Linked DNA regions of Mus musculus. The protein of the gene in region 4 interacts with the protein of the main gene of each other region in a pairwise test. Links are inferred from orthologs where the notes say so. Each region holds a gene or a part of one and is shown on either strand. Other genes may lie near its edges.

Evidence for each region.
Region 1: the proteins of Lnx1 (region 4) and Klhl12 interact in binary tests that used the Homo sapiens proteins (3 or more experiments, as listed by UniProt). The two-hybrid records come from large-scale screens. The link is inferred for Mus musculus from reciprocal best matches to the Homo sapiens genes LNX1 and KLHL12.
Region 2: the proteins of Lnx1 (region 4) and Dnpep interact in a two-hybrid assay, tested with the Homo sapiens proteins (3 studies listed by BioGRID and IntAct). The link is inferred for Mus musculus from reciprocal best matches to the Homo sapiens genes LNX1 and DNPEP.
Region 3: the proteins of Lnx1 (region 4) and Fam118a interact in binary tests that used the Homo sapiens proteins (3 or more experiments, as listed by UniProt). The link is inferred for Mus musculus from reciprocal best matches to the Homo sapiens genes LNX1 and FAM118A.
Region 5: the proteins of Lnx1 (region 4) and Dctd interact in a two-hybrid assay, tested with the Homo sapiens proteins (2 studies listed by BioGRID and IntAct). The link is inferred for Mus musculus from reciprocal best matches to the Homo sapiens genes LNX1 and DCTD.
Region 6: the proteins of Lnx1 (region 4) and Pomgnt1 interact in binary tests that used the Homo sapiens proteins (3 or more experiments, as listed by UniProt). The link is inferred for Mus musculus from reciprocal best matches to the Homo sapiens genes LNX1 and POMGNT1.
Region 7: the proteins of Lnx1 (region 4) and Kctd6 interact in binary tests that used the Homo sapiens proteins (3 or more experiments, as listed by UniProt). The link is inferred for Mus musculus from reciprocal best matches to the Homo sapiens genes LNX1 and KCTD6.

Annotation. Positions count from the first base shown.
Region 1 is NC_000067.6:134,486,531-134,488,951, reverse strand, and holds part of Klhl12 (kelch-like protein 12), read right to left. Parts: intron 1,943-2,421; coding exon 1,784-1,942; intron 1,309-1,783; coding exon 1,210-1,308; intron 18-1,209; coding exon 1-17. UniProt on the Homo sapiens protein: Substrate-specific adapter of a BCR (BTB-CUL3-RBX1) E3 ubiquitin ligase complex that acts as a negative regulator of Wnt signaling pathway and ER-Golgi transport.
Region 2 is NC_000067.6:75,308,065-75,311,041, reverse strand, and holds the end of Dnpep (aspartyl aminopeptidase), read left to right. Parts: intron 1-1,575; coding exon 1,576-1,743; intron 1,744-2,332; coding exon 2,333-2,383; 3' UTR 2,384-2,477; downstream 2,478-2,977.
Region 3 is NC_000081.6:85,050,562-85,054,061, forward strand, and holds part of Fam118a (protein FAM118A), read left to right. Parts: intron 1-132; coding exon 133-261; intron 262-3,009; coding exon 3,010-3,295; intron 3,296-3,500.
Region 4 is NC_000071.6:74,626,404-74,629,903, reverse strand, and holds part of Lnx1 (E3 ubiquitin-protein ligase LNX), read left to right. Parts: intron 1-1,542; coding exon 1,543-1,784; intron 1,785-2,403; coding exon 2,404-2,556; intron 2,557-3,500.
Region 5 is NC_000074.6:48,137,458-48,140,957, forward strand, and holds part of Dctd (deoxycytidylate deaminase), read left to right. Parts: intron 1-721; exon of another isoform or gene 722-1,324; coding exon 1,325-1,421; intron 1,422-2,885; coding exon 2,886-2,964; 3' UTR 2,965-3,500. UniProt on the Homo sapiens protein: Catalyzes the deamination of dCMP to dUMP, providing the nucleoside monophosphate substrate for the thymidylate synthase/TYMS.
Region 6 is NC_000070.6:116,149,124-116,153,317, forward strand, and holds the start of Pomgnt1 (protein O-linked-mannose beta-1,2-N-acetylglucosaminyltransferase 1), read left to right. Parts: upstream 1-1,394; 5' UTR 1,395-1,494; intron 1,495-1,941; 5' UTR 1,942-2,000; coding exon 2,001-2,120; intron 2,121-2,307; exon of another isoform or gene 2,308-2,446; coding exon of another isoform or gene 2,447-2,500; intron 2,501-2,696; coding exon 2,697-2,811; intron 2,812-2,953; coding exon 2,954-3,072; intron 3,073-3,585; coding exon 3,586-3,651; intron 3,652-3,739; coding exon 3,740-3,853; intron 3,854-4,194. UniProt on the Homo sapiens protein: Participates in O-mannosyl glycosylation by catalyzing the addition of N-acetylglucosamine to O-linked mannose on glycoproteins.
Region 7 is NC_000080.6:8,220,576-8,224,070, forward strand, and holds the end of Kctd6 (BTB/POZ domain-containing protein KCTD6), read left to right. Parts: intron 1-1,611; coding exon 1,612-2,298; 3' UTR 2,299-2,995; downstream 2,996-3,495. UniProt on the Homo sapiens protein: Probable substrate-specific adapter of a BCR (BTB-CUL3-RBX1) E3 ubiquitin-protein ligase complex mediating the ubiquitination and subsequent proteasomal degradation of target proteins.

The DNA.
Region 1 (2,421 bases), on a different chromosome or scaffold from region 4:
TAGGGCTACTCCAGCACCTGGGGAAAAGAGAGCATCAGCACATGAATGGCAGTAAGCCTAGCATCTGAACCCAGTAACAAACACGGCCGCTAACGGCTGCACTGTGGAGATGAGGGATGCACACATGTCAAAGCACTACAACAGTGTAATACAGCAAATGTCAGTGTGTGCATTGGTCAACCCTTAGGTTAGGGCCTGAAATTCTAGCAGAAGACTGACATGGGTCTCATCTCTGCTGTCACTAACTCACAGTCTATCTCTCTTCTGTGTTAGAGACAATGAGAGGAACCAAGGCCATGGCTCTGCTGTGATCTCTGTCCAGAGGCAGTTACATCACAGCCTATTCAACTAAGAGTTCTCAGCTGTTAGAGTTAGATGTACCTCTATGATAGAGTACTTGCCTAGTATATGCAAAGCCCTGCGTGCAGTATTCAGAATTTAAAAAAAATTATTTTTAGGCATTAGAGATTTTATCTAATACTTATTGCCATTTATTATCAGGTATATGTCACATGTGTGCAATCCTGGGATTACTTGGAGTCTAAAGTTAATGTGAGCTATATACTACATACAGTGAGATCTTAGATTAAAAAAAAAAAATCACCAATGAGTGTAGTGGTATAACTTGAAGCCAGAAGCAGGAGGATCACCTCATAGCAACTTGTACACTGGCCAGGACTGCACAGTAGGACCCTCAAAACAAAGTCCAGCCAGGTTTGTCAGTGCACGCCTTTAATCCCAGCACTCAGGAGGCAGAAGCAGGTATAGGTGCATCTCTGTAAGCTCAAGGCCAGCCTGGTCTACAGAGTGAGTTCCAGGACAGCCGGGGCTGCACAGGCAAACCCTGTCTTTAAAACAGCAAGACATCAACATCCAAAGAGTACAAAAAGCAAAGACATAGACCTCAACAGGTCTGTGTACAAAAATATTTATTTAACATGTACTGCACACACAAAATGAGGCTAGTGGTCAAACTACAAGAATAGAAAAAAGTACTAAAGAATAAGGAATCGCTGTCCTCAAATGGACAATCTAGCTCAAAGTTTAACCTACCTTCCTTCATCCTAATGTTGTAGGGAAGGCAGAGGTGGAGGAGACTGGACTGTGACTCACATTCACAATGGGTCTACAGTGAAATAAGAACTACAGTTCTGTCCTACTGATACCACACCCAGTAATTAAACCATCACTTCATAGGTTTGGTCTTACCAGAACGCTTGGTGGCCATAGGCGTAACGTTAGTCCAGTGTCCTGTATGGGGATCATATTTCTCAACTGAATTTAATATGTTCAAGCCATCATATCCTCCTGAAAGACAAAGTGGAGAACATTCCAAAGAGAAAGGTAGATTACCAGGCTCATCTTAGTTGGCCTTCTGTGAGTAATTCAACTGATTATTTATTTATTATATGTAAGTACACTGTAGCTGTCTTCAGACACCCCAGAAGAGAGGGCATCAGATCTCATTACAGATGGCTGTGAGCCACCATGTGGTTGCTGGGATTTGAACTCAGAACCTTTGGAAGAGCAGTCAGTGCTCTTAACTGCTGAGCCATCTCTCTAGCCCTAATTCAACTGATTCTTTCAGTTCTATTTTTTCCAGAGGTCCAGGTCAGAGAATATGCAACATCCTACATATTGCTTACAAGAAAAATATAATCCTATTCATGGACAATATATTGAGAAAAGTCAGAGTTTTTGTTGATGCAAGTATATGCACTTAATTCTGCCCTCCAGAGTCTGTAACCACTAAGCTCTCTCCAGCCCCATCCCAGGCTCATACCTAGACAATAGATTATTCCGCTGGCCACTACTAGTCCTGCGCCCTCTCGAGCTGTCTGCATATCTCCCAGCATACTCCACTGATCGATGTTTGGGTCATACCGCTCCATACTTGTATGACGCCTACTTCCATCAAAGCCTCCAGAGACGTAAATCATATCTGCTCAGAGTGAACAAATTATAGACTGTTAAATTAAGAATGAAAAATACCTAACAACTTTTATCTCTACAAATTACCCATTGTTAAGATGGGGGAAGAGGGACTGCACACATGAATGTAATTACAACACTTGGGAGGTTCAGAAGGAGGTTCAGGAGTTCAAGGCCATTCCTGGCTACAGACTAAGTTAAGCCTTAGCTATTTCAGAACTCATCCCAGGCAAACAAATTATTATATTTCTTCAAGTTGATTTTTATTATTCTTAAATTTCCCATGGTGTATATTAATTATATATGGTAGTGTATAATACTACATAAGCACATTCTTGTAAATGTATATTTTGTATATATTTTCTGAGACTTACGTGACTTAAATGGTAAGTCATGTAAGTCTCAGAAGGAAGAAAGGCAGTACAAACAAGCATTTAAAGCCCATGCTGGTAAGCCCAAGTTTGAAACAAGGGTGAGTTACACGGGGAA
Region 2 (2,977 bases), on a different chromosome or scaffold from region 4:
GAAGGCCCAAGTTGAGAGCAAGAGGGACAGGAGAAGAGACTCACCTAGACCAGTTTGCTTCTGAAGCTCTTCTGGTGCTGGGCCGGGCCTCAACTTCTTTGCATGACCCCTTCAGTCCTGAACCTTCAACTGCCACTGAGGCTGCACCTTCACCAGTCACCTTCACCAGTGGCCTCTCAGTGCCTCTTAGTTCCAAGCCTCAGCTGCTCTCCACGACCCCTTCATGCCTTCACAACCAGTACCACCTGGGTGACTCTTACACATTATCAAGTCCGCCTGCAGCACAAAGTACAACCTTGGCCACCTCTGAAACATAGCTTCCCTGTGCTCTCAGAAAACACTTCCCAGAAGATTTCACCTCAGGGATGGTCTCTTCCTAATCACTACTAATTTCTTAGCTCCAGCTGACCAGCATCAGTTGTCCTTGTAATGTAAAAGTTTCACTATCAGTCCCAGCAAACCAGAACCACAGAATCTTAAAATAGCAGATGGCCCTGATAGAGTCTACTCTTCCCTCTGAAGTTTCATAAGCCAGGCCTCCATCTTCTGCACTCTCTCAACATTCTTATCTTCCAAGCTCCTACAGAACTTCCCACTGAGGTCTTAACACTCACTGGCTCTTCTAGCCCAAAGTTCCAAAGTCCTTCCACAATTATCCCCAAAACATGGTCAGGTCTGTCACAACGATACCTTGCTTAGTCAGGGTTTCTATTGCTGCAACAAAACACCATGACCAAAAAGCAAGCTGGGCAGGAAAAGGTTAATTCAGCTTACACTGAAGGAAGGCAGGACAGGGACTCAAGCGGGACTGGAACCGGAAGGCAAGAACTGACATAGAGACCATGGAAGGGTGTTGCTTACTGACCTGCTTCACGTGGCTTGCTCAGCCTGCTTTCCTACAGAACTCTGAACCACCAGGCCAGGATGGCACCACCCACAATGGTCTGGGCCCTTCCCCATTGATCACTAAGAGAAAATGCCTTACAGCTGGATCTCATGGAGGCATTTCCTCAACTGAGGCTCCTTTCTCTCTGATGACTGTAGCTGTGATGACTGACAGACAAACCAGCCAGTACAATGGGTTAATACTGTAATTCTCACCTGACAAAAGTTTGACTTTTATATTTCTGTTTTACACTTACAGATCTTAAAATCTAGCTCCATATTAGGACTTCCTTGGTGTTTTGTTTTGAGATAGGGTCTTATGTAGCTTCAAACTCAGTATGAAGCAGAATATAGCCTTAAGCTCCTGATTCCTCCATCTCCAAGTCTTGGGATTACAAATGTGCACCACCATTGCCCAGGTGGGGATCAAACCCAGGGCTTCATTTATACTAGGCAAGCCCTCAACCAAGTGAACTATACCCCCAGCCCAGCAGGAACTTTTAGAACATTAAAACTACTAAGTTTGTTTTCCTTTGTGTATTGGGGTTTCACGTTGTGTGTGAGAGTAACAAAGAGGTAGAAGACATTGAACTAGATGCTCTGCCAGCCCTGAGGCTCTAGGGTAGCTTCCTCCTTGATCTTAGTGAGCGCATCTAGGGTTTAGCTTATGACCTCTCCTCCTCTCACCAGGACCTCATGGTCAGGAATGACTCCCCGTGTGGTACCACCATTGGACCTATCTTGGCTTCTCGACTGGGGCTTCGGGTGCTGGACTTAGGCAGCCCCCAACTGGCTATGCACTCTATCCGGGAGACAGCCTGTACCACTGGAGTTCTCCAGACCCTCACCCTTTTCAAGGTAACTCCCACCTGGCCCTCTGCTCCACCAGTAAGTGGCTAGTCACTGCGGGGGGCTGATTGCTGTGGACTACAAAATAGAAAACGGCCCCTGTGTCAGCTTCCATCACTGACACATGTGAGGTAAGCAGTTCATAAGAAGTCAGCGTTTCGGAGGCTTTAGTCTGTGGCCAGCTGGCTGTTGACTTGAGGCCAGTGATAAAGCAGGATATCATGGCGAGAGCTTGTGCTAGAGGAATCTGCTGCCGGGAGAGGCGACAGGGAAGAGGGAGTTGTGGGGAAGAGGAGGGAGAAAATGGGTTCAGTGTCCATCACAGGTATGCTTCATCCCGGGTGACCTGACTTCTTCCCTTCAGACCCCAACAGTGCCTACCAAGCCTTTAACACCGGCCATACCATTCCTCGTTTTCAAGGCCTCAGAGGAAAGTGGTTGGCTGGAGAGGGCCGAGGGATGAGGAGTCAGGCCAGTGCATGAGGCATAGAAGCCTCGGTGCTTCTGTTACTAGACTTGGAGGAGATGGAAGGTGCGTGGTGGGGCACTGCCGTCTGCTCACTCACTAATTCCTGGTTCCCTCTGCCTCGCATTTTAGGGCTTCTTTGAGCTGTTCCCTTCTGTAAGCCGGAACCTCTTAGTGGACTGAGGCCTCTCGCCAAGAGTTGTCTTCCACCCCTTCAATTGAGAGGGGAGGATCTCAGTTTCGCTGATGTTGGTTATTAAAGTAGATTTTCACTCCAGCTCTCTGTGCTTTTTCTGAAGCGGCAGGGTGAGCCTGGCCTGACCCTCTGGAACCAGACCAGAGGTGAAGGTCAGGTGCAGGTAAAAGGTTGTCCCTCCCTGCATCGCACCTGAACCAGAAGCCCCTGTTCACAAGGGACTTGACACCACTTGTCATTTTATTAGATTTATTTTATGTGTATGAGTGTTTTGCCCGCTTGTATGTATGTATGTGCCTGGTGCCAATAGAGATCAGAAGACATTGGTTCCTTTGGAACTGTAGTTATGAGTCACCATGTGAATGCTGGGAACTGAGCCCTGGTCCTCTGCAAGAATAACAAATGAATAACACTAAGCCACCCCTCCAGCCCAGCGTGAGTGGCAGTTCATTGTGATTTTGATCTCCCAGACTTTCAGGAGGCCAGACAGATGGCTCAGTGGTAAGAACACTGGCTGCTCTTGCAGAAGATGCAAGTTCAAGTTCCCAGCACCTACAAGGTGGCTCATAACCTTCTAAGTC
Region 3 (3,500 bases), on a different chromosome or scaffold from region 4:
GGCAGGATAACTAGTTTCTGTTTTAAAGGTATAATTATGAATGGAAACATTTACTTTTTTGGATAATTTTGTTCTTATATCTTGTTTGAAATAATAGCAGTCTATTTATTGTCTTGGTTTGGGTTTTGATAGGTTCTTCAGTGGGCAAGAGGCCATATTAAGTATGGAGTTCTTCATATTCATGGTTTGTACACGGACCCCTGTGGGATGGTGCTGGATCCATCGGGCTATAAAGATGTCACTCAAGATCCGGAAGTCATGGTAAGCCTGTTTTCACTAGGCTCTGGGTGCCTCTTCTGGGGTACTAATGGTGGCAGCCAGCCATCTGGCTGTGTTTCCCAGGCATTCTGGTTCTCTGGTTAACTCCCCTTTCACATGGCTGCTGGGGACAGGGCCATCTTTTCCCGTTTGTAGCCACATCTCTAGGCCCTGGTACGGCGCTGCATTCTGAAGAGATGCTCAGTGCACACCTGCTGGAGGAGGACACATGTGCTTCCTTAGAAACCTCTCTCCTGCTGCCAGCACTAGCGCATTGCAGTTTCCTGGCGAGGGACTTGCCTGAGGCTGGTAGTCTCTGGTCTGCAGTTTGCAGTCTGTAGTCTGCTTCTCCTCTGTCCCATTTGTCAGCCCTCCATGTTACTCAGGGCTGTTGTATCTGCAGTTCTCACCTTCCTTACATAGCAGTCTCTCAGGTTAAAACTAGGGCTAAGAATGGAGCCCTGGCCGAGCTCACACCGAGCATGTGCATGTCCTTAGCTCCATGCCAGCACAGCAGACCAACAGCGAGCACCCCATGATACGGAAGCCTTTCTTCACTCTTTTAGGTTTTTTTTTTTTTTTTTTTGAGATAGTGTCTCTCTACAGAGCCCTTCCTTTCCTGGGACTTGCTATGTAGGCCAGGCTGGCCTTGTACTTAAAGAAATCTGCCTGCCTCTGCCTCCTGAGTACTGAGATCAAAGGTATTTGCCACCATGCCAGGTCTTCTTCATTTGTTTGTTTGTTTGTTTGTTTGTTTTGTTTTGTTTTGTGTTTTTCGAGACAGGGTTTCTCTGTATAGCTCTGGCTGTCCTGGAACTCAGAAATCTGCCTGCCTCCCAAGTGCTGGGATTAAAGGCGTGCGCCACCACTGCCTGGCTCTTCTTCATTTTTTAATGAGAGATTTGTGGCTGGGTACTTGTGTCACATGTGTGAGTTCAAGGCCAGCCTGGTTTATAGAGGAGTTCCAGGACAGCCAGGGCACACAGAGAAAGACTGTCTTAAAACACCAAAAAGAGTGCTGGAGAGATTGCTCAGCTTAACAGAACACTGACTACTTTTCCAGAGGTCCTGAGTTCAATTCCCAGTAACCACATGGTGGCTCACAACCATCTGTAATGGGATCTGATGCACACGTCTATTCACGTCTATTGTGTCTGAAGACAGTGACAGTGTACTCATATAAATAAAATAAATTTTAAAAAAAGGAAAAAGAAAGACCAAAAAGAAAGGAAAAAAAAAAAAAAAGATTTGTGAGGGTGTGTGTCAGTTGCCTGCAGAGACCAGAGACATTGGGTCCTTGGATCTGGAGTCACAGTGGTTGAGGTGCCCTCCATGAGTCCTGGAATTGAATAGGTCTCTGGAAGAGCTTCACTTGCTCTTTGTTAACCACTCCACTGAGCATCTTCCCAGCCCTGCCCCAGCAGATGTTCACATGAAGTATGTGCAGTATGTTGCCGACTCTTCTGTCCTAGCATACGCCATACTCCTCCTGCCGTTTCTGAGCGTCTCGTGAAGTCTGTTTGCCTTCAGTATTTTTGACTCTTGGTCTTCCTGCCTCCGCTTCCCAAGTGCCGGGATTTCAGGCATGCGCCACCATATCAGGCTATCTACAAGTCTGACTTGAGTCTGTGTGTTGTGTGGTAGTTCTCTCAGTATCAGGTACGTGTTCCGCAGAGCTCTTCTCTGGCCTCTCTCAGCAGGGATGGCATCAGCAGATGAATGCTGGGCAGTTAGGAGCTGATGCTGCTGAGGCCCTCCTTGAGAGAGTGCTGCTGTTATGGGGCCTTCAGGTCCGAGTCACCGACCACTGCTCCTCTGGGTGACCCTCATAGGCTGCTCTGGGGTTACTGCCTCTACTCCCCTTCACAGCTCTCTTGCCTTCACTCCCTAAAATCTATCTACCCCCTCTTCCTGCGGGATCTGGCTCATCTGTCCACTCATTAGTCTCAGGGTGGTGTTTGTACACAATTTTGAACCAAGAAAAACAGTTTTTTGAGACAAGGTCTCACTATGTAGTCCCAACTGGCCTGGTAATTGCTATGTAGACCAGGCTGGTCTGGAACTCACACAGAGATCCGCCTGCCTCTGCCCCCCTTAGTGTCAGGACCAAAGGTGTATGCTGCCACACCCAGCAGAACTGTTAATGCTCTTCTTTTATGTCTTAATTTAAGATTGTATTTAGCTGGGCAGTGGTGGCGCACGCCTTTAATCCCAGCATCTGGGAGGCAGAGGCACTCGGATTTCTGAGTTCGAGGCCAGCCTGGTCTACAAAGTAAGTTCCAGGACAGCCAGGGCTACACAGAGAAACCATGTCTCAAAAAACCAAAAAAAAAAAAAAAAAAAAAAAAAAGTTTAATGTGTGTGTGTATAAATAAATAAATAAATAAATATCCAGGAGTTGACCTGGGTGAGTTGACCTGGCGAGCCAAGGGTCTATCGTAAGCTGACTTCACTGTGAGGTGCATTCATGCTGCCCAGGTTGGCCAGTATCCTGCCTCTGCTGGTTTTCTTTCTTGTCCTAGTTGAGAGGTAGATCTCAGCTGAGCTTCACCATGCCTTGCACACAGATCACTGCACGGGGTTGCTCTGAGTATGTCAGGAGCCCCTAGTCTCCCTGGTGCGCCTTAGGATGGCTCTTGGGAAGCCTGCTGGGTACAAGATAGGATGTTAAGGAACACGGGGGCCTTTGTGTCAATGAGGAGCTCCTGCTGGGTTTCACTGAGGTGTTCTCTGTTTATTGGCTTTCCCCAGGAAGTCCTGCAAAATCTCTACCGAACCAAGTCATTCCTGTTCGTGGGCTGTGGCGAGACACTTCGGGACCAGATATTCCAGGCGCTCTTCTTGTACTCCGTGCCAAATAAGGTGGACTTGGAGCACTACATGGTAGTGCTCAAGGAAAACGAAGACCATTTCTTTAAGCATCAGGCAGATATGCTTTTGCATGGAATTAAAGTGGTGTCCTACGGGGACTGTTTTGACCTTTTCCCGGGATATGTGCAAGACCTTGCCACTCAGATCTGCAAGCAGCGAAGTCCAGGTGTGGAGCTCTGCCGTCACTTCTCCAAGCAGAATTCCTGGGTTCTTCCTTCAGCTGTTCCTCTGCCCAGTCTATAAGACTTACTAATCTAGTTATTTTTTAGTGCCTCTGAGTTTAAAAGTTGAAAAAGGGGTGATTGGTATAGGTAACAGTCTGTAAGTAGAACTTGAGACTTCTGCTCCAAATGTGGGACACATTGATCTGC
Region 4 (3,500 bases):
AAAGAATGAATGAATAAATAAGTAAATAAATAAATAAATAAATAAATAAATGTTTATTTTAAGTAGTTCAGTTACAACATGATTACTGTGCTCTTTCTTAAAAAAAAAAAAAAGAATAAATAAAAAAAGAGCCAGAGCGATGGCTCAGTGGTTGAGGGCTGACAAGCTTGAGGGCAGAGTTTGATGCCTAGAACCCTCGTGGCGGGAGAGACCTGACTCCCACAACTTGTTCCCTGACTTCTTTGTGAGCTCCTCCTATGTATGTGTGTGTATACACACACATACTCACACTCACACACCCACAAATAATAAGTATAGAAAAGGACGGTAAATAAGTAGAAAAATAAAGACTTCAATCATACAAGGCAGTGGTTCTCAGCCTTCCTAAGGCTGCGACCCTTTAGTACAGTGCCTCATGTTGTGGTCACCTCCCGCCCCACTAAATTAGTTTTATTCTTACTTCATAGTTGTAATTTTGCTGCTGTTATGAATCATAGTATACATACCTGCATTTTCTGATGGTCTGAGGCAACCCCCACGACAATGTCGTCCAGGGTTTGTGTGATAAACGGAGAAGACTAACATAATCAGTAGCCCTGTGTCAGGCCAATGCCACTCAGAGGAGTTCTTTAGAATGACTTCTGCCGGATCAGCAGCTGTGTCATCTGACACCCTCTCCAGCAGAACAGTGTGTTAGCTAAATCATCACCAGTTTCTGACCAGACCGTTGTCAGCGAGCTGAAATGATTGGCCCAGTGGCAAGGAAACATGTTCGTAAAACTAAGGATCCAGATAGGCTCAAACGCTGGTCTTCAGAGCCCTGGGCATTCCTCCCTCTCCCTAATGTGCCAATGATGGTCTACTTTACAGTGTTTGGGTTTTGGGAAAATGCAGTGAATAAAATGGATAGAGAGATGGACAGAAAGATCTCTGTTGTCAATAAAAAAAAAAATCAAAGATGTTTTTCTCCCCCGATGCTGTGAGATGTGACATCTTTCAGTGTGTGAGAGCTCCTGGCATTGACTCCTCTGAAGAGCATGCAAGGCGCTACCAGACCAACCTAGCAACAGGAATGGAAGCCATCACACCCGCCCCCTAGAGACTAGCAGTTCCGAGTAAACCTTGTGGCTTTGTGGCGAGTGCGATTCTGTTTCCATGGTCGGCTAAATACAGGATCTGGGAGTGGCCTTGAGTATTTATGTCCAATGCTGTGGGATCTAACCCAAAAGAAAGGGGTGAGAATGTGATTAGGGGTTTTGGTAGTCAAAATAAACAGTCACCAAGTCCAAATGTTAGAGATCCCCGTCCTCAACCCCAGTCAGGTAGATGTGATTTCCTACTGCTTGACAGTAGAGATTATATGCTAGGAGAATATAACAGGCAATTAAAAACAAATTATTTCTCAAGTCATTAATGTATTTGGCCGGCCAGCATATATTGAATTCTTATATGTGAAAGGGAGGGGTGTACATGGACAAGCATGTGTATTGATTGGGGAAGTTCTGACTAAACATTCTAAGTGCCCCTCTGGTTTTATTCCAGCTGCAAAGGGGCCTCCCACTATGGCCTGACCAAGGACAGGAAAAGGCGCTCTCAAGATGGCTGTCCTGATGGTTGCGCCAGCCTCATGGCAACGACGCTCTCCCCAGAGGTTTCTGCAGCCGCCACCATCTCTTTAATGACAGATGAGCCTGGCCTAGACAACCCTGCCTACGTGTCCTCGGTGGAGGATGGTGAGCCAGTAGCCAACTCCTCAGACTCTGGCCGGAGCAACCGGACTAGGGGTGAGTCAAAAATGGGACGGTGTCTGGGAATGGGCCCGTGGTTTTCCCTGGGATTGCCCTCTGTAGAATACCCGTGGTGGAAAGTTCTCAAAATGTTTTTTTAAAGGGGAAATGGTTCTGGTAGTTTTGGCCGACACTCAATGTCCAGTTCTCCAACAGGAAATGAAAGTTTAAGTGACCATGTGATCTGACTTGGTAATGGAGGGTGAGGTGAGGTCTGATGATTTACAGTTCCTATAGAGAGGGTACCTCCCCTGCCTTCTTTGGAAAGTAATGTTCTATCCACTCCCATCCAAGGGGGAGAAGAGATTTTTTTTTTTTTAAATAGTGAGATATGTTATTTTACTACATAAAAAATTTAGAACTACAGGTAAATAGTGATCACTGTTTTAATATCCCAATGTCCCAGTTCATACGCTTTAGACCGAAAAGATTTCTTTTTTGCTTGTTTTGAAGCAACACCTCACTCTGCACCAGGGCTGGCTCTGGCCTCCTGAGCTTCCTGGCTACCTCCTGAGTGCTGAGATCACAGGCACACAGCAGCACGCTTAGCTAGCAGATGGTTGCGGTGAGCCTGTGCCTCTCATCTCCATTGATCTCTCTCTCTCTCTCTCCTCAGCACGGCCCTTTGAGCGCTCCACTATGAGAAGCCGGTCTTTCAAGAAGATCAACCGAGCTCTAAGTGCTCTCCGGAGGACGAAGAGCGGGAGTGTCGTTGCCAACCATGTTGACCAGGGCAGGGACAACTCTGAGAACACCACTGTCCCCGAAGGTAAAGGGAATCTCCACTGCACCCCGAGGCTGGCTGTAGGCTAGTTTGCCAGAGTCACTTGAGGGATGGTGGTAGCCTGACCAATGTCCACCCTCTGTGACCTCTGTCTTTCCAAGGGTACATAGCCTTGAGTGACCTCCTCATTTGAGTAAGGACAGGGACTCTTGGTTTCTTTGTTGTCTTTTTACACAGGTGAGGAAAAATTCGTCTGTTCCTGGGCTCCAGGTGCTGGCTTAATGCACATGAAAATAATGATTATAGTTAGAGTGTGAAAAGCATTTTACTTCATTCTCACCCAATGGCACTGTGCACAGGCTTCTGCTAAAACAGAAAAAGCCACAGACACTGCGAGTTCTATATAAACTGACAGCAAGTTAGTGCCTTTGTTTTGCCTATTGTTTTGATTTTCTTTTTTTAAAGAATTATATATATATATATATATATATATATATATATATATATATATATGAATGAATGAATACACTATAGCTGTCTTCAGCCACACCAGAATAGGGCATCAGATTCCATTACAGATGGTTGTGAGCCACCATGTGGTTGCTGGGAATTGAACTCAGGACCTCTGAAAGAGGATTCAATGCTCTTAACCACTGAGCCATCTCTCTAGCCCCTGTTTTGATTTTTCTATACTAATTTATTTATAGTGTGTGGGTGGAGGTGGCTGTGCACACCTACATACACATGTACTCACGTGCCACAGTGCATGTGACTCATGTGACTGTCAAAGGACAACTTGCAAGGGTTGGTTTTCTCCATTCACCATGAGGGTCCTAGACTGGAATTCAGCAAGTGCCTTGAGCCACTGACCCATCTTGAGGGCCCTTAAAAAGCATCTTAGACTGAAGCTGGCACATTGGCTAGACTAGTATTCTTAGTGTACACGTACCTACACACACACACACACACACACACACACACACACACGG
Region 5 (3,500 bases), on a different chromosome or scaffold from region 4:
ATGCATGCAGGCGGGTTTGATCTTCCCATTGTTATTGTTTAGATCGAAATTAATTGCCCTATCAACTTTGCAAGGTATTTCTCGTGTTTTGCGTCTGCGTGGTGCCAGGTATTCCGAGACTTAATTGCATCCTCTGTGATTCTTAGCATGTTTTTAATTTAGTTTGCAACTTCTTAAACTGCAAGCTGCCAAAAAACAACACAGGCATTGAATATAATTACTGTCAATTTACCGTCCTCTGACATATTGTGCATAGATTAGGGGGGAGGGAGGGGGATGCACTTCTGTCAGAAACAAGGTCAGCTGGGAGTCTGTATATCAAATTTTAATTTGTATCTAATACATGGTGGATACGTGAGGATCTAAGCATATCTTTGCATATAAATATCACGAGGCTCAGACATGATCCTGAGTTTTTCCTTATATGTTGCATCTCCCATAACCTGCCATGCTGCAGTCTGTCTGCTGCACCTGTTTTTGAACTGTCACATCTAAGAATGAGCTATGCTTTATCTCCATAAAGCTCTCGGTTTGAGATTTAAAGACTTAGCATGTTGAGCCAGATATATGGGTTAAAGGGACTGTTTATCACGAGCCCCTGGTGTGTCGGATCAGAAGTCGGCTGCTAGCGGAGCACAGCCGCTGTTAAGGACTCTCTGGGTGTCCGTGCAGCTGCTGCCGTTAACCTGTCCTTTCGGGGTGCTTCCTTTGCTGGTTATAGATGAAGAGGTCGGCAGTGGGAGCGTGCAGCGAGCAGTGTGTGGGCTCTGTGGTCAGCCGGCTCATCCCCTCTGAAGGGAGTACAGAGCCCACACAGAGCAGCCCTCGGGACAAGGCCTGGGGACTCCTCACTCTCAGGTTCATGCTGCCTCGGGAGACCACGAAGCAGATCTACCCTTCTTGGAACTGGGCTAAGGTGATGGCAGAGCCTTTCTCGAGTAGGCCTGGTGCTGCAGATCTCTGGATTAGCCAGCACCCTCCGCTCCCACATTAGCCTCTTGAGTTAAGTAGTTGCTTTGTGAGTGAAAATACTTCCTTACCCGAAGTAAAAAAAACTTGTTAATTGGACCAAGGCTCGACTGTTTGACATGTTTTCCATTTGCATTTGTAATAAAAAACATGAAAAAAAAATCCATAAAGACTGGAAGGTGGCTTAAATACAGCCCCCTCTGCTGTCCTGGGAAATGGCAGATGAGCATTTTAGTGACTGGACATCGACTGTAAGCTCACTGGAAAAGGGTAATTAATCACAGGCATGGGGCTTCGTCTCTGCCTGTCTTCCATGGTTTCTGTCTGTGCTCATCTCCCACGGTTACCTGTTCAGGTATAAAAGAGGTTATCTTCATGTCGGATAAATACCACGACAGCGAGGAGACGACAGCTGCCAGGCTCCTGTTTAAGTTGGCTGGGGTTACGTTCAGGTAGGTCGGGGGAACTGGTGTGGACACGCATGTGGCCTAGCCTGAAGTTTAGTGTCTCCCATGGGGTTTTGCCTTCCACGAGTGGCAACGTCTTTGGAAGTGTGATGGCACGAGCCTCTGAAGATTATTTTAGGGTATGGAGTTAACTCCAGAAGTATCTGGAGACAGCCTGTTTAATGATTATATTTTAATATTAGTGACTTTCCAAGGCTTAGACTAATTATGCAAGTAGCAAGAAATTTAAAAATTTACAACTTTTGGGCTGGTACCGCTGAGCCTTTATGAATTTTTGAATATGTAAGGGCTCTAGCAGGGATAGTTTAGGATGAAAGCGGCCCGCCAGGGTGAGACACCAGGAATTCTTTCCTGAGCATCATTTTGAATTAAGAGCAGAGGCCCTTCCGATCTCGGCGATTGTCTTTGCAGAGTGGAGGTTGTGTTTTACTGGGAAGCTTTGCCATCTTTTATGAGTGGCCAGAAATCGTTTTTAGAATGGAAAGCCTTGCGGATTGTCACTCTTTCTGGCCAGCAGTGATACGACGCGTACAATGGGCAACCCTGTTCCTTGTGCTCTTAGAGACAGGGGATGTTTTAGTTTTTTGTTTTCTGAGGCAGGGTCTCTGAATGATCAGGCTTTTCCCAAGCTGCTATGTAGCCTCCTGCCCTGGTCTCCCAAATGACAAAACCCACCATGCGCAGCTAGAACCAGGCTTTTTGCATGCTGCATGTCCTGTGTGCCCTAGTTTTGCCTTGATAAAACACTGACTGAAACCAACTGAGGCAGGAGGCTTTCTTTGACTTTCGGGGTACAGTCTCACACCATGGGAGCCAGGGCAGGAAGTCAAGGCAAAGCCCGCAGGCAGGAACGGAAGCGGGGGCCACAGAGAATGCTGCAGACGTGTTCTGTGATCTCCTTGTTTTAAAAAGTCCCCACGTGCCTTCAATTATTGTAGCATGTTGAAGACAGACATTTAGAGGACTCATTATTTGCATTTGTAGAACTTGATTTTAAAAAAAATCTGCCCTCACTCCAACGGGTTGTCTTTCAGTGTGTCTGACGCAGAAGAAAATCTACTGTGTTTGCTTTAGAGCTGCACAAATTGGCTGCAGAAATTTCCTAGAAAATAAGATAAATACAATGGGGAAACTGTAATCGGATATCATGTTGTGCTGGTAACTTGTTAGAAATCCTTTGACTCTCGGATAATTCATGAACTCCGATAGTTGAAGCACGCGCAAGCCAAGCCACCCCATGCCTCGTTCCTGTCACAGTCTCTTCTGCTCCGTGTTCCGCTCAGTATGGCACACTATAATTGGCTCCTATAAAGATAAAATATCAAGAGAATCTCAGGGCATTTTTTTTCCTTCTGCACTAGAAATACAGTTTAAACTGAAATAAACAAATTGCTCTAACTACTCATTGGATAATTCAGTTCCTTTACATATTTTGTTCTTCACTTTTAGAAAATTCACACCGAAGTACAGCAAGATTGTCATTGACTTTGATTCGATCAATAGCCGACCGAGTCAGAAGCCTCAGTGAGTTTCGTCTCGTTAAAGCCCCAGAAGAAGATGACACCCCACCACGTGCGTGCACACACACACACACACACACACATACACACACACACAAGGGGCTCCCCAAGCCTTTCATCTTGAAGTCCCACGGAACTTTTTAATAACACAACACTAAACATCTAAAGAATATAAAACTTGGAATCTTCTCACCCGTCACGTGGAGCTCCATCTGTTTCAGCTGTTGATGTAGTTTGGTTTGGAAACTAAGGGACCTGCCCACAGGAGCTGGAGTGAAGGTCTCTCCCCTTCCGCCGAGCCCGTCTGCCAGAGAGTGTCAGCTCTGTCATCCACCATATTTCGACAGCCGCTCCTTGCTGCTACACGGGGTAGGAGGACATACAAATAATTGCTTCTCGTTCTTAGCAGGGATGAACAGGCACACTGAGGTGAACATCTGGCCCAAATGAAGCATACCCTGTCACGCCCTTGGGAAAACAAATAGGACCGAACAAAGCTACATGAACACACCTGCTGTAGAGTTGAGGGGACCTCTCACCTGGT
Region 6 (4,194 bases), on a different chromosome or scaffold from region 4:
AGGATCATGAGAAGACAAGATCATGGACAGTAAACCTGACGACAGAAGAGGGTCAGAGGCTAATGTGAGAACTTCTGCTGACTTGATTTTTTTAAAAAGACTTATTTTATATATGTGAGTACAATGTCATTGTCACTATCTTCAGACACACCAGAAGAGGGCATCAGATCCCATTACAGATGGTTGTGAGCCACCATGTGGTTGCTGGGAATTGAACCCAGGATCTCTGGTAGAGCAGTCAGTGCTCTTAACCACTGAGCCATCTCTCCAGCCCCTGCTTTTTTTGATGTTTAAATAAGAAAAACTTCAGTATAAAGAACATGTAAAAAACCAAAACATTTTTTGTTTCTCAGAGCAGGTTGCACTTCAAAATCCTGACTTGTTCTAGAACTCATGTTGTAGACCAAGTTGACCTTGAATCTATGGCAATCCTCCTTCCTCAGTTCCTAAGTGCTGGGAACCCAGGAGTGAGCTACTGTGGGTCTTAGCATCTTGTTATGAAAGTGGACTTGCCTCACACAGCCTTCCCTCACCTATATAGGAATGCAACACCACTTCCAACCTGGCAAGCACTGCTATCATATCGAAAGATGCCAACACTTTTGGAGTCCTCAAAAAAAAAAAAGTGTAAATAAATAAAGTGTTGCTGGGCATGTTGTACACTCCTTTAATCCTAGCATTTAGGAGGCAGAGACAGGTGAATTTCTGTGAGTTCAAGTTCAGCCGGGTCTACATAAGGAGTTCCAGGATAGCTAGGGCTATAAGGAGATAGGTAAGCTCCTGCTTCCTCAGAAAAGAACTAATCAGGAGCTGGAGATGGCTCAGTGGTTAAGCACACCTGGTGCTCTTCTAGAGGAGCGGTTGGGATCACAACTTTAATTTGGGCTCCAGGGGTATCAGACTGAGGTCTAGTCTCTTCAAGGAGCGCCCGCACTACCTGCACATGCACACAATCAAAGAGCATTTTTGGTTTTCTTTAAAGATGGGGTAGTCACGGTGCCTCTTAATCATGGTTTATGAAATCGAGTTAACGTAAGCGCTCAAAATAGTAGCGGAGCAGGTTTCTAATCCTCTCCTCCCCGGCCTGGAAACAGCCTTGCGGGGCTGGGCCAGGCCTCGGAGCTGCAGCCCTCTGATCCTGGCTTGCCCAGTGAGCTGGCCCGAGGTCCCGGAATGCCGCTTGCTCCGGCTCCGCGGTGCGGGGATGTGCTCTCGCCCGAGGTCCACTCGTGCGGACCGTAACCCTGCCAGACAGGCAGAGTACGCCGGCTCCCCTCGCGCTGCAGACGCCCGGCCGCGGCCGCCGCCCTAAGCGCCGCCCGCCGCCCTCTCACCCCGCGGCGGCGGCGGCGGCGGAAGCGGCGGGGCGGGCCGGCCGGGCCGGGGCGGGGCGCGAGAGGCATGGAGGAGGCGGAGGCCGCGGAGGCCGCGGCGCGCGGGGCCGAGCTGTGCGGGCCCGAGCGCGGCCCGAGCGGGGCCCGGGGCCCCTGAGCCGTAAGTGCCTCCCAGTGCGGGTCTCAGAGGGGTGATGCGGGCTGGGTGGGTCTTCTGAACCTTCCGGCGTCCCTGATCCCTGAGAGGAGAGGAGTTGAGCCAGATGGGAAGAGACGAGGGTGGAGGATTGGGGTGCAGGAGGTCGCTGTTACTGTTCTACCCCAGGGCTGGGAAGGACTGGGATTTGGACCTTTTAAGGACTGATGAATCGTTAAGAGTTGATTGAGTTACTGGCCTCCGCCGCTAAGGCCCTGATCCTGCACACAGTTCCTCTAGCCCCAGGGAATTTTCAGGTGATCCAACTCCTCCAAAGATTTTCTGGCCAGACCCAGAGAAGTTAAGCCACGTTGCCTAGGGCACACAGCTCAGCAGTTTGCTGAGAGAAGTCATTCCAGAAGGCATTAAGCTTTGGGACAAGCATCTTACTCTATGTGACTCTATATATAGTCCCCTCAGATTCCTGAAGTCATGGACTGGCCGGGACAGGGGTGACTCCCTAATCCAGTATGGATGACTGGAAGCCCAGTCCCCTCATCAAGCCCTTTGGGGCTAGGAAGAAACGGAGCTGGTACCTTACCTGGAAGTATAAACTGACAAACCAGCGGGCCCTGAGGAGATTCTGTCAGGTAAATGAGGTCCCACGTGTCCCAAAAGCTGCTCCCTAACTTTACTCTAACAGACTAGGAACTAACTACCTTGGCTATCAAGAAGAGGCAGCAAATTCCTGGAGGGGAAACCTCTGTCTGTTACAGCCTTCTCAGGCAGTGGTTTAGAGCCAGGATTCTGGAATCAGAACCCTAGTCTGACCTCGGCATCCAACAGAAACCAGAAGTCTGGTCAGGCAGGCTTTGCCCCTGACACCCAACTGTCAGGCAGTGTGGCCCACGTTCTTCTGTGTCTCTGGCTCTCCGCTGTGGTTCTCGGGTCCTAAATCCATCTCAAGGAACTAGTTATGGAGGGGACCAAGGAAGTCAAGGACTCAAATGGGAAAATACAAGACCACGGGGTAGGAAGGACCTGGTTGGTGGAGGGAAACCTGCCAGGGAACATTCTCTGGGAGATGGCCACAAATCCGTGTCCTTATTGGGAACCAGAAAGTGGAGAGACTGGTCCCTGTGTCCTCTTCAGCCAAGGTCATACTTTCAGAAGGCCCTTGTGATCTGGAGAGGGCTGGCTGCAGTCACCCCCATTTTCCTACTCAGACAGGGGCTGTGCTTTTCCTGCTGGTGACCGTCATTGTCAACATCAAGTTGATCCTGGACACTCGGAGAGCAATCAGCGAGGCCAATGAAGACCCAGAACCAGAGCAAGACTATGGTGGGGACCAGCTGAGGGTGCGGGAGGGGGGCGGGGGACGGGACGGGACCTGGGGTCTCATGGCAGGAATGGCGTGCACATCCCACAGGGTGTGACTCTGCTAGTGAGTCATCGCCCACGCCTGTTACAATTCCCTCTCCAGATGAGGCCCTAGGACGTCTGGAGTCCCCTCGGCGCAGAGGCAGCAGTCCCCGACGGGTGCTGGATGTGGAAGTATACTCCAGTAGAAGCAAAGTGTATGTGGCTGTGGATGGCACCACGGTGAGTTGGACCAGCATCTTCAGTCCATTCAGAGCACGGTGGGAACCGTCACCCTCTGCCTATTGGCTTGGACTTATTAGGATTAAGTAAATGGTCTATGAAATGTCTATGTGGCGAAGGCTTGGCAGTGATCAGGGGCGTTAGCGGGCAGCTAACTCCCTTATTTACTTATTATGTAACCACTTCCTAATCCCTTTGGCTTCAGCCTTGGGCCAGCCACTGGGGTCCTAGAGGTAATGGGACTTGCCCTTCCCAGAGAGGCTCACTGGTAGAGAGTTAGCAGAGACAGTCCAGGGCTCTTGGTGCCAGGGAAGTGTTAAAAGGTGGATGGTAAAGCGACGAAACCTTTGCCGATGAGGGTACCATGGGGGCTTTCTGGGAGAGTCAGCCTTCTGTCTGAGTTAGAACCGTAGACAGTGATAATAGAGCAGGCTGCTGTGGTTCCTGCTTCTAAGATGGAGTCACCGTGAGCGCCAGGGTGAATAGCTGGATTCTGTTTCTGCCGCTGTGTAGGTGCTCGAGGATGAAGCCCGGGAGCAGGGCCGAGGCATCCATGTCATAGTCCTCAACCAGGCCACGGTGAGCTTAAGGATGGGAGAGCCCGAGGGCCGAAGCTGGGCTTGCTTTGCTGATGACCCCGTCTCATAAGAGGGTTTGCTCCTGCCAGGGCCACGTGATGGCAAAGCGCGTGTTTGACACATACTCTCCTCATGAGGATGAGGCCATGGTGCTGTTCCTCAACATGGTGGCCCCCGGCCGCGTGCTGATCTGCACGGTGAAGGTCAGTGAGGCCCCCTAGCTCTGGCTCTGCTCGGCAGCAGAAAGAACATCTAGAGAAAGGTGGTCAAGTTCCAGACTGAGCCTAGCTTTTTGTTTTTCTTTTGTTTGTAATCAGTACAGTGGTTTCTGAGCTCTGTGCCAGGTACTGCAGCATTGAATGCTGAAGATACAATACAAGACAGATTCCCTACCGCCCCGGAGCTCACATCTCAGTGGTGGCGATGAAAACAGTCAGCTCAGCCAGTAGTCTCAGGAAATGAAATAAAGAGGGGGATGATGGGGCTGCATTTTAGGGAGGGAGCACCTCTTTTTGGAGGGTGGCAGGATGCAGGCGCCGGGCAC
Region 7 (3,495 bases), on a different chromosome or scaffold from region 4:
TTTAACTCCTGACATCTCTCCTGCTCCCCTAGTAACTATTGGCAATCACTAATTTCAGATACACCACGATGTTTCAGTCTTTGCTGTATATTGCTTTTTAAATTCTCTTTTCATGGGATGGTGATGCTTAAAGGGCCTATGGATAATGGAATGAAGACTTCTTCATTGTAGTAAAGGGATTACTAGTTAGACAGTGTTTCTCCTCACATGGGTCCATGCCTCCCTGTTTTCTTCTTTATCTGGTAAGACATATTTTACTTTCTTAGTACCTGAAGGCCATTCCTTGTTTTTTCTTAAATAGGGTTTCTAAAGCTGAAGGTATGTTATTTTGAGAAGCTTGCTTCTCAGAATTAAAGGTCAGATTACAACCTGAATGTTGTAAAAATGAATACACAGTCAGATATGACAGTTTAAAGCTGCTCCCAGCCCTTTGACATGTGGTAGTTTGTTTGGGGCTAGAAGATGAGCTAGATTGGGTTCACCAAACCATGTATTTTTTAATCTAGTGTTTACAACTTAGTCCCTGGGCGTGGTGACACAGGCCTGTAATACAGCACCGGGGATAGGCAGGAGGTGTGTGTTTCTAGCCTGCTTTATCTATATAGTAAGATGCTGTCACAACAACAACTGCAACAACAGCAGCCAGAAAAGAAGAAACTGTTGCTTCCAGAAAAAAATTACTCAGATTGATTTTAAACAAATTTTTGTTTCTAAAATACATTTGGGTGTGGAGACAGGGGTCAGCAGTTAAGAGCACTTACGCTCTTACAGAGGACCTGGGTTTGGTTCCTAGCTCCTACTCAATGCCTCACAACCGTCCCTAACTCTCAGTTCCTAGAGCCATACCCTTGGTACAAATGAGGTACACACACGTGCACACAGGCAGCACACTCATATAAGAGACATGAATATATATATATATATCTACACACACACACACACACATATATATATATATATGTATATATGTATATTTTCCACAGCTGGGTGTGACAGTATACACCTGTGGTCTTAGCACTGTCCTAGCAGTGGGACAGAGGCAGGAGAATCAGGAATTCTAGACCATCCTTAGCTACACAATGAGTGTGAGGCCAGCCTAAGTTATGTGAAACACTGTCTCAAAAAAAAAAAAAAAAAGTTAGATCTTCTGACTCCTTTGAGGAGAAAAACCCAACACAATTCCTAAATTAATTATTGTTACATTATCAGATTATTTTTATATTCTAGCTTATGTTAAATTTTTAAAAACTGACGGTTTTGCCAAGGGTGGTGGCACACACCTTTAATCCCAGCACTAGGGAAGTAGAAGCAGGCAGATTGACCCAAAAAGCTCTTCAGATGCTGGACTTCACTGTATGACACTAAAGGTCACACCTGGTAGACTTATAGGAAACTTTTGAAGGATTGGATTTATTCTGTTTGAAACCAAATATTGAAGCCCTTCTCTTGGGTGGGTTTTATCATTGGAAGTAAAGCCGTTTAGTCCCCTTGTGCTGCCAGATATATTAGCTTGAAAGGGTGTTATGCTTTGCTTGTTAATACTGATTTTCTTAATTTGTTAGTTAAGATTTTAAGGTTTCAGGTAATTAATTGGATTTTTAAAAATTGCAGATGAGTGACCCAGTCACATTAAATGTAGGTGGACACTTGTACACGACATCGCTTACCACGTTGACACGCTACCCGGATTCTATGCTTGGAGCTATGTTTGGGGGTGACTTCCCCACAGCCCGAGACCCTCAAGGCAATTACTTCATTGATCGAGACGGACCGCTCTTCCGCTATGTCCTTAACTTCCTACGGACTTCAGAACTGACACTCCCCCTGGACTTTAAGGAGTTTGATCTGCTTCGGAAAGAGGCTGATTTCTACCAGATCGAACCCTTGATTCAGTGTCTCAATGACCCCAGGCCTCTGTATCCTATGGATACTTTTGAAGAAGTCGTAGAGCTGTCTAGCACTCGGAAGCTTTCTAAATATTCCAATCCGGTGGCCGTCATCATCACCCAGTTAACCATCACCACAAAGGTCCACTCCTTACTCGAAGGCATCTCAAACTATTTCACCAAGTGGAATAAGCACATGATGGACACCAGAGACTGCCAGGTCTCCTTCACCTTTGGACCGTGCGATTACCACCAGGAAGTCTCTCTCCGGGTCCATCTGATGGAGTACATCACGAAGCAAGGTTTCACGATCCGCAATACTCGGGTGCATCACATGAGCGAGCGGGCCAATGAGAACACAGTAGAGCACAACTGGACTTTCTGTAGACTGGCCCGCAAGACGGACGACTGACTGCTGGCCAGCCCTCAGAGAACTTCCTGCAAGCTCACGTTTTGGGACATGGAAGAGACTGTTGTTGGGTTTTAGTGTGGGCCCTCTTTTTTTTTTTAATTTTTTGATTCAGTCTTTGTATTTATTTGAAGGCATTGAGGACCAGAAGGAAGTTTTGTGTGTGAGCAGTCTCCTCCCTGTTTTGTTCCCAAGTATGCATGTGCCTGTTCCGAGTCTCTAGAAACCTTTTTTATAAAAAGAGATCTGAAAATCATTATGGTATATAATCTACCCTTAACAGTGATAAAATGATTTCTGAGAACGTGGTTCCTGACTCGACTGGAAGGCTAAAAACAGGAATAAAAGATTAAAGAGGGTATTCATGATGTCTTTGAGAAAAATCAGAATATCATGTAGGGCGACCTAGTTTCCAGACCAGTAGGCAGTATTGTGGTGTTAAAGGAAGACTGGCCCAGTCATCTGAGGGTACTTGTTAAGGACTGCTTTCTACAGTTTTGACAACTGTTTCTTTCTATGCATATAAATCAAGCAACCAAATATCTGTAGCCATGGAAATGTCTGACTAGAAATATTTATATTGGATTCTCAATACAAAATGTCCCTGTGGTAGAAACCTTATGCCTGGTACAGTTTCATTCCCAAGGTACTGTCTACCAGGAAAGAAAAATCTAATAAAAAATGGAATATGAATATTAAAGGTTGTATTTATTGCTATATAAGGGGAAAATCATATTCTTCATTGAAAGTATGCATCCTTTATGTCCCAATTAAAGTGCTTATAGCACATTTGTGATAGGGTTGACAGGACTCTGTGGGACATTAGATTGTACTTTATAAAGCCAGCTGTGTAACCAGAGATAAGCGGGTTTGTCTAAAGAGTGCAACCCTGTTTTCAGATCGGGTTTACAGTGAATATTACAGTTTTCAATTGTCACAGCTATGGATGTGACTCATTCCAGTTTGTGCTGTGCGTGAGGACAAAGTGACTCCCACCATTTCCCCCTCAGGAATTGTGGTAGCTGCAAGTGTGTGTTATGACAGGTAAGTCCCATCCTGAGAAATCAATCAGAAAGAAGGCTCAGAAAGGCTTGGGGAGGGTGTGCCCATCATCTGCTTATTTCATTGTCGTCACCGCTTTCAGAGTCGATGTGATTCTGTTGCTTGAAAGCTACAGGAAGGAGCGTGTTAATCATGAGA